2 linked regions of the Caenorhabditis elegans genome follow. The protein of the gene in region 1 purifies or fractionates together with the protein of each later gene. This does not show direct contact. Each region holds a gene or a part of one and is shown on either strand. Other genes may lie near its edges.

Region 1 (7,232 bases):
TCGTCAGCATGAAAGGATGCGTTACTTTGACGGTGCTACTACAACTCCGTTGTTTGACAAATTAAGAAGTTTTTTATGTTAAATAGAAGGAAAATATTTTTTCTATTGCTTCAACACAAGACTCTTTATTTTTAACGTTTAAGTCGCCTAAAAACAAACCGAGACTGAGCGCGACACTTGTCACCATAATTATGGACCACCCTGTATATTTGCTGGTTAATAATATTTCAGTTGAACGACCCAAACCGAAAAAAGGCGTGCAAAAAGCGTTGCGGGCGGAAATGTAATGCACTTTATTCAAGATCATTAATAAATTTTCCAAAGGACTATCTACATGAGTTGGTCATCCGTATAGAAGGGTTCCGTGTGTTCTCGAATAATTACCAAATCGGGCATCTCCTCGGGAATCTGAACAAATGAAAAGGTTAACTCAAAAAGCCTGGCTGACCCATCACGGTTTGATCTACCAAAAATGCGGGAATTTTTCTCCGCATTTTCCGCATTTTTTGTAGATCAAACTCATATGGGACACCCGGACACCACGCGACTTACATTCGAAACGGTGTCATCTTCGCGGACTTCTGAAAATTAAAATTTAATTTTTTTTTCGAAAGATTACAAAATCAACTTACTTCTCGACTTCTTCTTACTGAAACGAACATCCATTGGAGCACTTTTGCCGCTTTTCAGCTGCTTCTTCTCGGTCCGCCTATCCGGAGTGAGTGGGGCCCCCGGCTGAGCTGGCTGCGGAGCAAGCGGCTGGTCATGACGATTCTCTCCTTTTTTACTCGAATCAACTGTATCTTCCTGAATGAAAAACGGTTTAAAAAAGGCCTGCCTGCCTACCTGCCTACTAGCCTATACTTGACGTACCTTACTCTTAGTTTTCCTTCTACAGAAGCACATATTGTCACACCTTCAATACGATATTTGCTCACAGCGATACAAATTGAAAATTTATGAAATGATTGATTTTTTTTTTGAATTTCAATAAATGGGCATTTTTATCAAGAATTAGAAAAAAATAAATTAAGAAAAAAAAATTGACGTCAAATTATTTTTTAATTTTTAAATTTAAAAATGTCTTAAATTTCACGCCAACCGGTTTTGCCTGGACATAACGCCTGCTTGCCTTTTCGCCTACATAACGCCTGCTGGCCTTCTTGCCTAGATAACGCCTGGATGCCTACATACGTGCCTTCTCGCCAACACAACGCCTACTTACCTACTGGCCTACACAACGCCTGTTTGCCTTCTCGCCTATATAACACCTGGATGCCTACCTACGTGCTTACTCGCGTACATAACGCCTACTTACCTACTGGCCTACACAACGCCTGTTTGCCTTCTCGCCTATATAACACCTGGATGCCTACCTACGTGCCTACTCGCGTACATAACGCCTGCTTGTCTTCTTTCCTACAAAACAGTTTTTTGCCGACTCGCCTACATAACGCCTGTTAGCCTTCTCGCCTACATATCGCCTGCTAGCCTTCTCGCCTACATAATGCCTGTTAGCCTACTCGCACGTACAAAGTCTGGATGTCTTTCCGTCTACATTACGCCTGCTAGCCTTCTCGCCTACATAGCGCCTCATTGCCTACTCGCCTACATAACGCCTGCTAGTCTTCTTGCCTTCTTAACTCATGCTTACCTACTGGCCTACATAACTCCTGTTTGCCTTCTTGCCTATATAACACCTAGATGCCTACCTACGTGCCTACTGGCCTACATAACGCCTGCTTGCCTTCTCGCCTAGACAACGCCTGGATGCCTACATACGTGTCTACTGGCCTACATTATGATCATCTCTCTGCCTACCTACGTGCCTATTTCAGGACTGCCGATACTTTTCAGTTTTTGGAAAATCTAGCATATCCTTGGCAATGTTTTTAGTTTTGATTTGATGAAATGTCCTAAAAAAACAATATTGGGAAATGTTTCTCAATCAAGAGGTGCACCAATCTTCCCGGTCACACAAAAAACCTAGCTACAAACCTAGCTACATTTACATATCGATCTATTCTCGACCAGATAGTGCTCGGTAACCTCCCCAGAGCCTGAAAAGGGCCCGATCAATATAATGACGTAGCCGTTTTCATTGTCTGTTCTATCTCCCTTTATTCTTATTTGAACTGCATTCACCTCTCTAATGAGACCTTCTGATTCGTTTTGCTGTGGAGACAGCGACTGCATGCTGCTCAACAGTTTTGTGTACGGATATCAAATTCCGGAGATTTTGATGAAGCCTACTGATGTAAGATTTTTATTTTATTACAAAAAATAAATAATTTAATATTTTTACTTCAATTTTCAGAACGTCGAATTAATTTCCAAAGTTTTTGAGAACGTGAAAATTCTTGAAAAAATATTGGAAAATGTTTCGACAGATGCGATGGGCAAATTAGATCTAAGAGTGAGTTCTGTAGAAAATTAAAATTCTCAGAGAGAAAAATATGATAATTTGGCAGGTAATTCAAATTTTCTGAAAACAATTTTGGCAGAAAATTCAATTTTTTTAATGATAATTTTTTGGCGGGAAGTTGAAATTTTTTGAGAACTTTTATTGCAGAGAATTCAAATTTTCTGAAAACAATTTTGGCAGGAAATTCAAATTTCCCGAAAAAAATCAGGCCGGAAATTTTTTGTAATTTTTTGAGAACAATTTTTGGCGGGAAATTCAAATTTTCTGAGAAAAGATTTTGGCAGGAAATTCAAATTTTCTATGACAAATTTTTGGCGGGAAATTAAAGTTTTTGGAGAAAAGTAATTTGGCAGGAAAATCAAATTTTTTAAGACAAATTTTTGGCGGGAAGTTCAAATTTTATGCGAAAACAGTTTAGTGGTAAATTCAAATTTCCCAAAAAAAATCAGGCCGGAATTTTTTTGTAATTTTTTGAGAACAAATTTTGGCGGGTAATTAAAATTTTCCCATACCAAATTCAGACGAGAAGCTCAAATTTTTTTTGGCGCAAAATATTGGCGGGAAATTCAAAAAATGGATGTAAATAGTCTAAAACTTCTAGGATCTTCTGGAAGCTTTTTTTCAACCTTGAAGCTTTTTGAAGGTTTAGGAAACCCAAAGAAAAGAAAAAAATTTATTTAAAATTTATAATTTATGGGCTAAATCAAAAAAAAAATGGTCCAAGTAACACTACAGAATTTAACGTATAAATTTCCAGCTAGTCAACAAAAACATCAACATCGCCTTGCTCCGTAGAATCCGACAAGAGCACCGAGACGTGCTCATCAGAGGAGCATCCGATTGTCGATTTGATTTGGAGCAAGATGCTAAGCAAAACTGTCCAGATTGTTCAGTTTTTATAAATCCACAAAGGGTGACTATGGAAAAGTTGGAGGATTATTTTCGGTGAGTATATATATTTTTTATATTGTTCAGAGCACATCTTTCAGATTTTTGAAAGAAATCGCTGGAGTCAAAGTTCGAAGAGTTGGCGTCGAGGATGTTGCAAAAATTTGTGATCAGAGGGAAATCCATGATAGGGTCATCAATTCTTTGATTGGCAATGATGGTTAGTTTTTACTGATTTTGTTTTGTTTTTCAAACCGTCCCAAATGCATTTAAAAAAAAATTTCCAGACCAACTCGTAGAGGAATTTTTCGGAATGAATGATATCTGCAGTGGATCAGATGAGTGTGGAATTATTGGCGGTCGATGTAGAAAATATGGTCCGATTCAGGAGAATATTTTCGATATTACACTGAAAACACCACATCATTTTGAGCATTTAGAAGTTTCAGACACGTAAGTTCAGTTTGAACAGTTAAATTGAGATATTGAGTTTGGGGTTAGTGAAGGGACATGGTTGTGGTACTGTAGGATTACTGTAGGGGTACTGTAGAGGTAATGTAGGATTACTGTAGAGATACTGTACTATTAGTATTGTGGGGATACTAAAGGGGTGCTGTAGGAGTACGATATTTGTACTTTAAGGGCGCTATAGCGAAAGTGTAGTAGTACTGTAGAGGTAATTTAGGGATACTGTAACAATACTGTTGTAGTACTACTGTAGGGGTAATGTAGGGTTACTGTAGGGATACTGTACTATTGGTACTGTGGGGATAATATAAGGGTACTGTAGGAGTACGGTATTTGTACTATATAAGAATACTGTGGAGTTACTTTAGTAGGACTGTAGAGGTTTTGAAGGATTACTGTAGGGATACTGTGATATTAGTATTGTGGAAATATCATAGGGGTACTGTAGGAGCTCTGTAGTAATACTACAGGGGTACTGTAGGAGTACCTAAGATATAATGTAGTAGTACTCTAGGGATACTGTAGGGGTACTGTAGGGTACTGTAGGATCACTGTACTTTTAGAAAAATAGATTTTGTCTTTACTTGGAGTATTGAGTTGGTGTTAGTAAAGGAATATGGATGAGGTACTGTAGGATTACTGTAGTTATACTATAGGGATACTATAAGGATACTGTAGAAGTACTGTAAGATTACTGTAGGATTACATAGTTTGAGAAATAATGATTTTTTGTCTTTTGATGGGATATCGAGTTGGGTTGGGCTACTGTAGGATTACTGTAGGGGTACTGTAATAGTTATATAGGAGTACTGTAGTAGTTATAAATTCTATAAATTATACTTGTTTTCCTTACAGACTCCTACATAGAATCGTCTTGTCGCTTGCCGATTCGTCGCAATCAAATTTAGCAGTAATTGATAAATATATAAATTCAAGAATTTCATGTGATTCCCTGACTCTGATGCCATCAATCCTACTTGGAACCAGGAAATCGTGGATTCCATGTCAACTCCAAGTTATGCGACAAATCGTAGAGCTGATTGTGGTGAAATGGAATGTGAAGAATTTGAGAATTGAGTTTGGAGAGTTGCCAGAACTAGATCTAAGTTCTGGAGACTTGGATTTGAACCAGAAATTGATTGGTTTAGAATTTGAATCTGTAGCTAATTATTCTTTGGAAAACCTTGATATTTGCCTGGAATTCAGTGAACTTCTCGCTGATGAAATGGAGCAATACCTGAAGTCACCTGAAGAACCTTCACCAATTGATGGATTAATTTCAAATGTTCAAAAAATATTTTCCACTAAATTTTTGACTCTGGAACTTCCCAAGGCATACATTCTCATGACACCTTTCAACTTGAATAAGTTCATCGGAAAGTTCATGAGAATGATTGAAAGCTCTCCGAGCTCTCCGACGATAAGAAATTCCAAAATAACAGTCAAGCTTTATCCAATGAGCTCACAGCTTATTTCTAGAACAGCTCCAGTCTTCAACTACAGAACACAGAATGTGCCGGAGATTTTGAATTCTGGTGCTCGGCTTGTCTCCGGGCCAATAGATCAAATTCAAAAAAATTCAAAAGACTACTTTCACCTGAAAGATATAGTCTCAATACCAGACGATAGATCAATTGGATATCGAACTCAAGTTCATATTTGGAAGGGAAGAAGGTTTTGTTTGGAACACGAAATGGCCAATTGCACGATAGATTTTGAAATTTATTTTGAAATTGAATTTTTGGAGAAGTTCTTCAGGAAGAGGCCTGATGTTAAGGGAGCTGGATTTTTGAGACATTTTTGGACACCTGAGTTACTGGTGAAACATTTTTAATTTTATTTGTTTTTTTGTGTTTTTTTTTGTTTGATGGGGTTATTCAAGTAATGTAGCAAAATGTATTTAAATACATTTGTGACGTCAGAAATGTATTTAAATACATGTTTTTATATACTTGAATACAGTTGTGACGTAATTTTTCTACACTTTTTAATTTTCCGACATTACTTGTTGAATAACCCCATAAGGGTAGGGTAGCAAACATTATTGCAAAATTTTTGAAAAGTGGTATTTACCGAGCTTTTGCCACTTTTCACAAAGCTATAACACTGTTGCATTTTTGAAACCCAACAATTAGGGGCTGCAAACGTTTTTTTCCGGCAAATTGGCAAACCGGCAAATTGCCGATTTGCCGGAAAAATTTCGGCAAGTTGTGCTAGTGCACATTTTTTTTTGGAAATCACTGTATTTCAATTTTAATCGGCAAAATTGTAGACTTCCTATGAATGTTCCTACATCTATTTTTAAAAGTAAATAAATTCTATGAAAATTTGCAGAAAACAAAAATTTCCGGCAAATTGGCAACCCGGTAATTTGCCGAAAATTTGCCAAACTGCAATTGCCGCCCACCCCTGGTTCGAATATTAATTTTTTTGATCGATGACTTTCAAAAATGTGGAAAAACTGAGATTTTTTCAATTTTTAAAAAATCATATAAAATGGCAAAAAATTTTTACTATAATATTTGGCAATTCTGCCCCACTAGCGCAATTCTGCCCCACACCTCATCTTTAATGAAAAAAATTTTTTTTTTTCAAATTTTTCATGTTTTTTCCTGTTCAATTTTTTCTGAATTTGTTTCTGATTTAAGTTTTTAATTGCTTCATTTTTTAAATAAATTAATTTTTCCGTTTTCAAGAAAAATCCTTGTTTTTCTTAAATTAAAATTTTGAAATTTTTAGGCGCACCGGCAAGTTTTTGGAAATATCACCCAGACGCAAATTGCGCAAAGTTTTGTGATTTTGCGGAATTTTCATCAAATTTTCTTCAGTTTTTTAAACATAACACGGCCCGAGAAGTTGTGCCTGTACCTACCTGCGGTACCTACCGTACCCCGGCTACGTTTACGCATGTTTTTCAAAAACGGCAATTTTTTTTACGGCAATTAATTTTAAAAAATGACAAAAAACGATTATCTTATTTTCGTAGATGAAGTTTTACCATAACTCGCTTCACGGATTTCTGGCTTCCCTCATAAATTGAAATGGAAGAGTTAGGCCAGTTTGGCTCGGTCATATCTGGGGTAGATTTACGGCGCGTTGCGTGTCGCGTCGCGGCTCGATTTTAGTTGTAAAACTAAATGTATTTGTCCGTGTGGAGTACACGACTTTCCGTTGTCCGGCGGGCGATTTTCAATGGAGCGGTCAGAACCTCGTGTCGCGTCTTAACCAGGTCATGCTTTGTGTTCGGTAGAGCGCATTTACACTGATGTACCGTTTGCCGGGCCATGACTCATATTACGATAACACAAAATTTTTGAGAATGCGTATTGCACAACATATTTGACGCGCAAAATATCTCGTAGCGAAAATTACAGTAATTCTTTAAATTGCTACTGTAGCGTCGATTTACGGACCCGATTTTCAAAAATAAAATTGAGCCCGTAAATCGACG
Region 2 (7,388 bases), on another chromosome or scaffold:
TCTGTACACTGAGTAGAGATCTAAGAATTCGTGGCCAAAGCGGATTGTTGAGGGAATGATGAGCCTCAATCTCTGTGGCAAAACATTGAAAAATGTCTAGTTTCTGAATTCGAGCAAGTTTCAGCAGAGACGCCAATATGTCCAGGTAATCAGCAAGGCAATCAGTGTGTGTACTTTGAATAGAGTGTTTGATTCGCCGCTGTAACAATTCCGAGATTTAATTGTTTAATATTCTAATTAACTCACCATGCAAATCTCACTTGCTGTCATACATAGCCTCGCAGGAAACTCATGTATATCATGGTTTGTCGATAAATCTAACAACAACAAGGAAAAGTTTTCTAGTAGTCCAAACTTGTCATTTGCATCATCGATTAACTCTAAATAAATTATGAGCCATTGAACTGGTTTTTGTCGAAGTTCTTTATGCATAATCAAAACTTTGCCATGATCCTGTAGAAAGTGTTGTATCTCCTGAAATTGATAAATTATACATTCGAAGTATAAAAATGAAATTACATTCAATAGCTTTGGAAACGTCATGTGATTGGTCGACTTCTTCGCAGTTAATGAGTTAAATGTGGCAAACAGTTCATCAATGAACAGGGCCTGATCAAGAATAGAATTGTGCAGTTTTTTATATTTTAAGATTGTCAATCCAGCACGCAAGCAATTTTCGGTCATCGAGCAATCATTTTTCAGTTTGTCTTCCAACTGTGATCGGCAGTGAGGCCAAAACAGAACCAATTCATCGAAATGAACGCATTCTCCTGCGTTTTCTCCGAATAAAGTTGAAATGATATTCCACTTCAAATGATATCTAAAAAATCCTGAGGCACCTAATGAAATAGCTGAAGCAATTTCAGGAGTGATTAATTGTGGCAGAGAAGACGAAGGTTCGACGTCACAATATTTAACAACTTCCAGTAATCCTTGCAGGAAATAAATAGTTTCTCTCGGGTCTTGTTTCGTCACAGAGATCATCAGTACTGATAGAATTCGCTGAAATAAATAAAAAACATTGAATTATTGAATATAATTCTTGCTAACGTCAAAACATTTTGCCAATTCTTCATCCTCAAAGGCACACATCGACGCAATCACTGATTGAAATAATCTTATTTTTTCCTCTGGAACGAATATATTAATACAAATACTAAATTGTATTTTCTACCTGAAGAAAGTTCCTGCTTCTCTGTTATTAAATGTAATGTAAATGTTATACTCTGAAGGATCATTCTGAAAAAACATAAATATAATCATCATCTTCTACATTTTCCAACTCACATCTTTTCCATGAACTCATTTTCGTCTAACTGCTCGATTCGGGAAACGAAAGATTTCGATAACAATTTAGTTATGTCATCTAACAAGAATTTCATTTTTTGTCTGAAAATGTAAAATAAAAAAGTTAAGATAAGATTTAATAATTATACCTGTTGAATTCTTTCTGCGTCACATATTTTTTCGCCGTACATAGCAGAGCTGAAACATCCTTATCGATATTCATTCCCAAATATCTGAAAGCCTGCGCACGTTATTTCAGTGGTTCGATGGATATTTAACAATATTTAAAATATATTGCTAACGTTTTTGTGATAATATTATGAAGAATTCACTAATACTTACTAAAAATAAGGAAACGAACAAAGTTTAAAAATAAATTCCTTCCGCAAAAAAAATTAAGCAAAATATAGAGTTCGATTGGATCGAATATATTCGAATTTGCATTGCAAATACAAACTCGCCCTATTGAAACGGCGCGAAATTTTAAACGATTGCTCCAGTTTTTGTATTGTTTTGTTGAAAATTATTATTTTCTCGTGAAGTTCCAGATTCACTTCGTTTTATTTCGTTAAACGTGGACTGTTTTTTTCAATAGTGCAATTCCCCAACTCATTATCGTAAATTCTCAGACGAATTTGATCAAATTCAATATGGAGGAAAGTACAAACGACGGCGATGAAAACAAGCCTGCAACTGGGAAGGTAAATTAAATATTTTTGTATTTATCAAAAGCAAAACAATTTCAGAAGCGACAACAGCTTGAATCTCCGTTTTCTGCTGCGACACCGAAATCGCGTCTCGGAAAGGAATCGAAAAGGTTTTTCGGGCGTTCTGCTATGAATTTGGCCGATGGAAATCTTGAAGAAACTCGCATTGAGCCAGACTCGCGCCATTCGTCTACCAGTACCTCCGACTCTATTCTTGATGATTCTTCAATCTCCAATTTTTCCACACTCGCCCCGCCAAATACCTCCGTTGATGATAACAGTGTCTGTGAACCGCCAAGAGCTTCCTCAGCTCATGATGTCGATCCTAATTTGGAACAAACGAAGGTTTACAGTGAAGACAGCATCAGCAAAGACTGTAGCATTGCTGACGAGAGTTTTGCGACTGATGGTGACGTCACACTGGCGAACGACTTCTTCCAACAAGCAACGATTCAAGATCTAGAGAATACTCCGTCAACACCACTTCGGAGCCAGACACAAGTTGGAGACGAAAGTACACCAACTGCTCCTTCCCCACTTCGTTCGAAAATTCCAATCGAGAGTGAGGTTGTGCAGTCAACTTCTGTAGAGTCAGTTCAGTCAACATCTCAGCATGAAAAATCGAGAATTGAATATTCTTTGTAAGATTAATTTAAATTTATTCCCATTGTTAAATTGTTTATTTCAGATATGAATTCGAAATGCTGGAGAAAAATATCGAGCATGATGAAGTCGTTAAAGATCTTCAATTGAAAATTGAACTTCTTGGAGAGAAACATAGACAAACTCTTGTTGAAATTAAAGAAGCTCGTGAAGTTGAAGAGAAAATGCTCATGCAACAAGTGGAGGAGGCTGTAAAAAAGACGAAATCTGAGCGCGAAGCTGCAAAAACTCTGGAACAACTTCTTGAGAAACGGATTGAAGAGCTCGAGATGAAATTAACGGAGCCGAACGGAGAGAAACTACAGTTTGAACATCAGTTGGAAGAGTTGAAGAGTCGTTGTGAAGAGCTTACTGACAAAGCACTGAAGGTTGATGTCATGCAACACAGCATTGAGGACTACGAAAAAAAGTTTGTGGAGTTGCAAGAAATGAAAGAGGAGGCTGATGAACAACTGCAAAAGGCTAAGGAAGACATTGAGACACTACAGATGAAGTATGTGGAATTGGAGACAACGATCAACAAAGAGGTAATGCAGTTAATATCTTGCCTGAAAATTAATTATATTTTTTCTTAGGTGTTCTCCAACTCTGAAATTGAAACTCTGAAGTCGGAACATGAAATTGTTCGTAAACTGATGTTGGATGAAATCCATCGTCTTGAGAATGAAATGTCTGCTCTTCAACCGAAGAATGATACTACTGAACTGGAAGAACTTCAGAAGACTCTCGATGATCTCAAAATTGACTGTTGCAATTTGACTTCAAAAATGCTTGAACTTCAGTCAGAGCTCGTAGAAGTGAAAGAGAAAGCCACGTCAGAAATTGGGGAAGCTGTTCAGAAAAACGGTGAACTCCTGGAACAGGTTCGTAGTTCGAGTTTAGAAATAATTGCACTATATTTCTTATTTCAGATCAATAGCCTTCGCGTCGAAAATGCAAAATTGGTGGACATGGAAGGTCAGCTAAACGATGCACATCGTAAAGCGGAAGATAAAGATGTTCGAATCAGTGAACTATTGACTACCATTGAGTCTCTTCGTCAAGATTCTGAGGCCAGCGATAAACTTCTAATGGATTCGGAGTCTACACAAAATGAGTATTCGCTTGCTCTTGAAAACACAGTCTCTGAGTTGGAAACAATGCGAAGAGAATATAAGGCTTCGGTGGATAAAGTTTGCAGTCTTCAACTGGAACTAGAAGAAATTCAACATGAAACATCAGTTGAATTGGAAGAGGCGGAAATAAGAATTAAAGAATTGGAGTTGGCACAAGAAGAAGCTGTAAAAACTGGAAGTTCACAGCTCAAGAAGCTAGAAATTGTTCAAGAAGATTGTCAGAAGCTTCGTGATCAATTGAAGGAGGAACAAATTCAGCAACTTGTATCTCTTCGCGAGACTTCTGAAGTCATGCACCAGGAATCGGCTCGACATCAAGAAGAAAAGTACCAGATTCAGAGCAAGTTGATGTCGACGGAAGCAGAAGTTATTGAGCTGAGATCCTCTATTGATTCTCTCCAAGCTGAAGTTCGAGTGCAGTCAGATTCCGCCGCAGACCAAAAACACATCCTTGAAGATTATTTGAGAAAAATTCGGCAAGCAGAGGAAACCAACGAAAAACTTCGCTCTGATTTGGCCTCCTCTGAAGAACAAATTCTAGATCTGAAGAATCAACAGGAATCATTGATTGATGATTTGAAGGAAAAATTGCACTCTGCAGAAAGTACGAATCAAGAATTGCAGGTCTCTCTGGAGATGCTCAAGATAGAAGTCAGTAATGCTCGTCAGAAAGTGATGGAGAGTGAGGTTTTAAAAGAATCTTTCGAAGCCCTTCAACTGGAGTTGTCGGCATCACAAGAAGTTTCTCGATCAGTGGTTGATGCTGCAGTTCAAGAAAAAGATGGTCTTCTGAGACTGGTGGATACGCTGAAGTTGAAAATTGAAGATACGGAAAAGTCTGCTCAAGATCTTCAACAAAGCTCTGTGGAAGAGATAAAACAACTTCAATTGGACCTTCAAAATTTCAAACAAAATGCTGAAGTTCTCGAATCTCTGAATGAAAAACTAAATTCTAGTCACAAGAGGGATATGGTGGCGTTGGCATCTCAACTAGAAGAGCTTCAACATAAACTCGTCGTCGGAGAATCCCAAGTGGAAAATGTTAAGGAAGAACTGATTGGAGCTAAGATAATGAACAAGGAAATGGTTGATGAACTGAATGCGAAGCTTGGGGATGCTCTTGAAGGGATGGAAGAACTGAAAAAGAGCCTAGAAGTATCCGAAGCTAAAGTTCAGAGAAGAGAAGAAGAGGTTTAAATTCCTTAAGATTTCAGTCGAATTAAACTTGTTTTTCAGCTAATCGCTCAAGTATCGAAACATCGTGATCAGCAGGAGCAGCTTCAATTGACTCTCGACGAGCTCAAATCGGCTCAACATTCCACGGAAACATCCCGTTCCCAGTCAAATGAACTTGCTGCTCGTATCGAAGAGCTTGAAGCTTCCATCTCCTTTGCACAGAAGGCTCTTCAAGATGTAGAAGACGTCAAACATCAACAAGACATTCAGATATCTGAGGCGAATGAGGCAATGGTAAAGCTGAAGCAAGACTTTGAGACAGAGGTATATTCTTTCGAATTTCGAACAGAACATAATTTATTTCTTTTCAGAGGACATCACTTCAAAACGAGTTCAACCAAACTGTTTCCGCAGACAAAGAGCAGCTTGGTCATGCTGAACAAATGATTGCTCAGAAAGAAAAAGAGATTATCACTCTCCAAGCTCGAATCGAAGCGATGTCTCAGCAGTTCGAGGAGCGCCTTGAAGCATCGAATGTTTGGAAGACCCAAGCCATGAATGTCGGTACACTGACTGAATCGTTGTCTCAGTTACAAGTACAACTTCAACAAATGAATGAGAAGCTGGTTGCATCGGACAAATACGCAGTTGAAGTGGAGCAGCAAGCTCAGCATGATATAACTGTGATCCAGGAAGAGAAGAACGAGCAATCAGCGGCTCTAGAAGAAGCACTATCCAAAATAGCGGAACTTGAGGAGCAACTGGGAAGAGCCCAGAAGGAGATTGTACGACTCGAGAAGGTGTGTGACGATTTCGACGACGTTGAACGAGAGCTGAAGGATGCCATCTCGAAGCTTCAATCTGAGATAAAGCAATTGAAAGGAATCAAGAAACCACCAAAAGTAATGGGACTCCTTCAACAGGCCAGACTTGGGTAAGTCTCCATGATTTTCGACAAAACTCAGATATGTAAATCTTTGATATTTCAGAGTGAAGCCGCTGAGTCGTGAACATTCTCATGCGGAGCCACCAGAGCCTGTTGTTGAGGACAAGTTCGAAGATGCTCAGGATTCGTTCCAAGAAGAGTTTTCCCATTCGCCAGATGCTATCACGTCATCTACGGTACTCCATCCAGATGATCATCTTCAAGAAACAACTGCAGTTGAAACGCCGTCGAAGAAGGCGAACCGCTCAAACTGCAACCAGCAATAATTTGAACTCGTATTTTATTTATTTTTACTTTTTGTGTGCCATTACGTATTTCCGCGCACTACTCAACTGTGAATGTCTTTCCGGGTCAGAATAAATGTCTTTATGTGAATTTAAATTTAGATGATTGTGCTTTTATATTACATAGTCTTCTTCTTTGATGCATTGAATTGATTAATTAAATCCGAAAAAATACAGATCATTGATTATATTGAGTTTGTTTGATTATCATTTAAAAAATTGACCGTGATATTATCGAAAAAATACGATCGCACAAATTTCTCATAATTTATTTTTGATCTACCTTGTTGACTAGGCTCCTCCCCTTCCTTCGACAAGACGGCCACAACAAAATAACAACGGCAACAAGATTGGAGTTATGAGTTGGACTAACGAAGGACACGCCGACGGACCACATCTACCAAGAATGCAGAGTTCTCCCTTTGAAAGAAGAATATAAGCTCTCGACGCAACAGATGTACTTGGCAGCGATCAAGTCAAACACGCACCCGTGCAGAGACCTGGAAGCAAAGCGCCAACTGGAACGAACCTCTAAACCGCCAAGGATCCCGCCGCTGAAGCTATCGGACTCTGAAAAGCTCAGACTCGACAACATCCCAGGCGACAAGACGGAGGCCCAAAAGAAGAATCACACGAAGCTGGTAGCGGACTTCATCAGGAATGCACCAAACAACAAAATTCTCAACAAACCTCCACCAAGAGTGAACTACAGGGACGAGAGGACGCTGCCAAAGGAGACTCGATGCGAATTGGCACGGCTAAGATGCGGTCACTCACTCCTCGTCGAGAAATACAAAGCCCGGCTGGAAGAAAGGCAAATAAAGAAATGTCTGAATTGTGGAGATGAAGAAGGAGATGTGCAACACCTATTAAGTTGCCTCCAAACTCCAGTCCCCCTAGAGGAACTCTGGACTTCTCCACTCACGGTGGCGGCGGCCTTAGGGCTCCCCACAAAAACTCCATATGACCCTGGAGGAGGTCATTAGCTATGCGAGACATAGCTGGCTGCTGCGCAGCCATTGTTGTTGCACAACAACAACAACAACATCTGTATTTTTTCGGATTTATGATCTATTGTATGTGTACATTTTTCTTTTTTCTTCAACTTTTTCCACGTCTCCTCGCGAGCGTAAATAAATTAAATTAAATTAAATTATATATAATATTTATTACTCAAAAAATGACGCGACTAGCCATATCGTAATTTTGT

The links.
Region 2: the proteins of BE10.3 (region 1) and hcp-2 fractionate together in Caenorhabditis elegans (co-fractionation; one large-scale study listed by BioGRID). This does not show direct contact.

The regions. Positions count from the first base shown.
Region 1 is NC_003281.10:12,805,897-12,813,128, forward strand, and holds BE10.3 (FTH domain-containing protein), read left to right. Parts: upstream 1-2,129; 5' UTR 2,130-2,194; coding exon 2,195-2,257; intron 2,258-2,317; coding exon 2,318-2,416; intron 2,417-3,182; coding exon 3,183-3,370; intron 3,371-3,414; coding exon 3,415-3,533; intron 3,534-3,600; coding exon 3,601-3,766; intron 3,767-4,636; coding exon 4,637-5,615; 3' UTR 5,616-6,466; downstream 6,467-7,232. Other genes in the region: BE10.5 (Autism susceptibility gene 2 protein-like), read right to left, coding at 331-408, 553-581, 633-807, 874-906.
Region 2 is NC_003283.11:9,643,945-9,651,332, forward strand, and holds hcp-2 (HoloCentric chromosome binding Protein), read left to right. Parts: upstream 1-1,914; 5' UTR 1,915-1,937; coding exon 1,938-1,988; intron 1,989-2,033; coding exon 2,034-2,635; intron 2,636-2,682; coding exon 2,683-3,184; intron 3,185-3,232; coding exon 3,233-3,520; intron 3,521-3,568; coding exon 3,569-4,963; intron 4,964-5,008; coding exon 5,009-5,272; intron 5,273-5,319; coding exon 5,320-5,882; intron 5,883-5,937; coding exon 5,938-6,160; 3' UTR 6,161-6,267; downstream 6,268-7,388. Other genes in the region: atl-1 (Serine/threonine-protein kinase ATR), read right to left, coding at 1-199, 247-474, 520-1,002, 1,051-1,130, 1,175-1,239, 1,288-1,389, 1,437-1,510.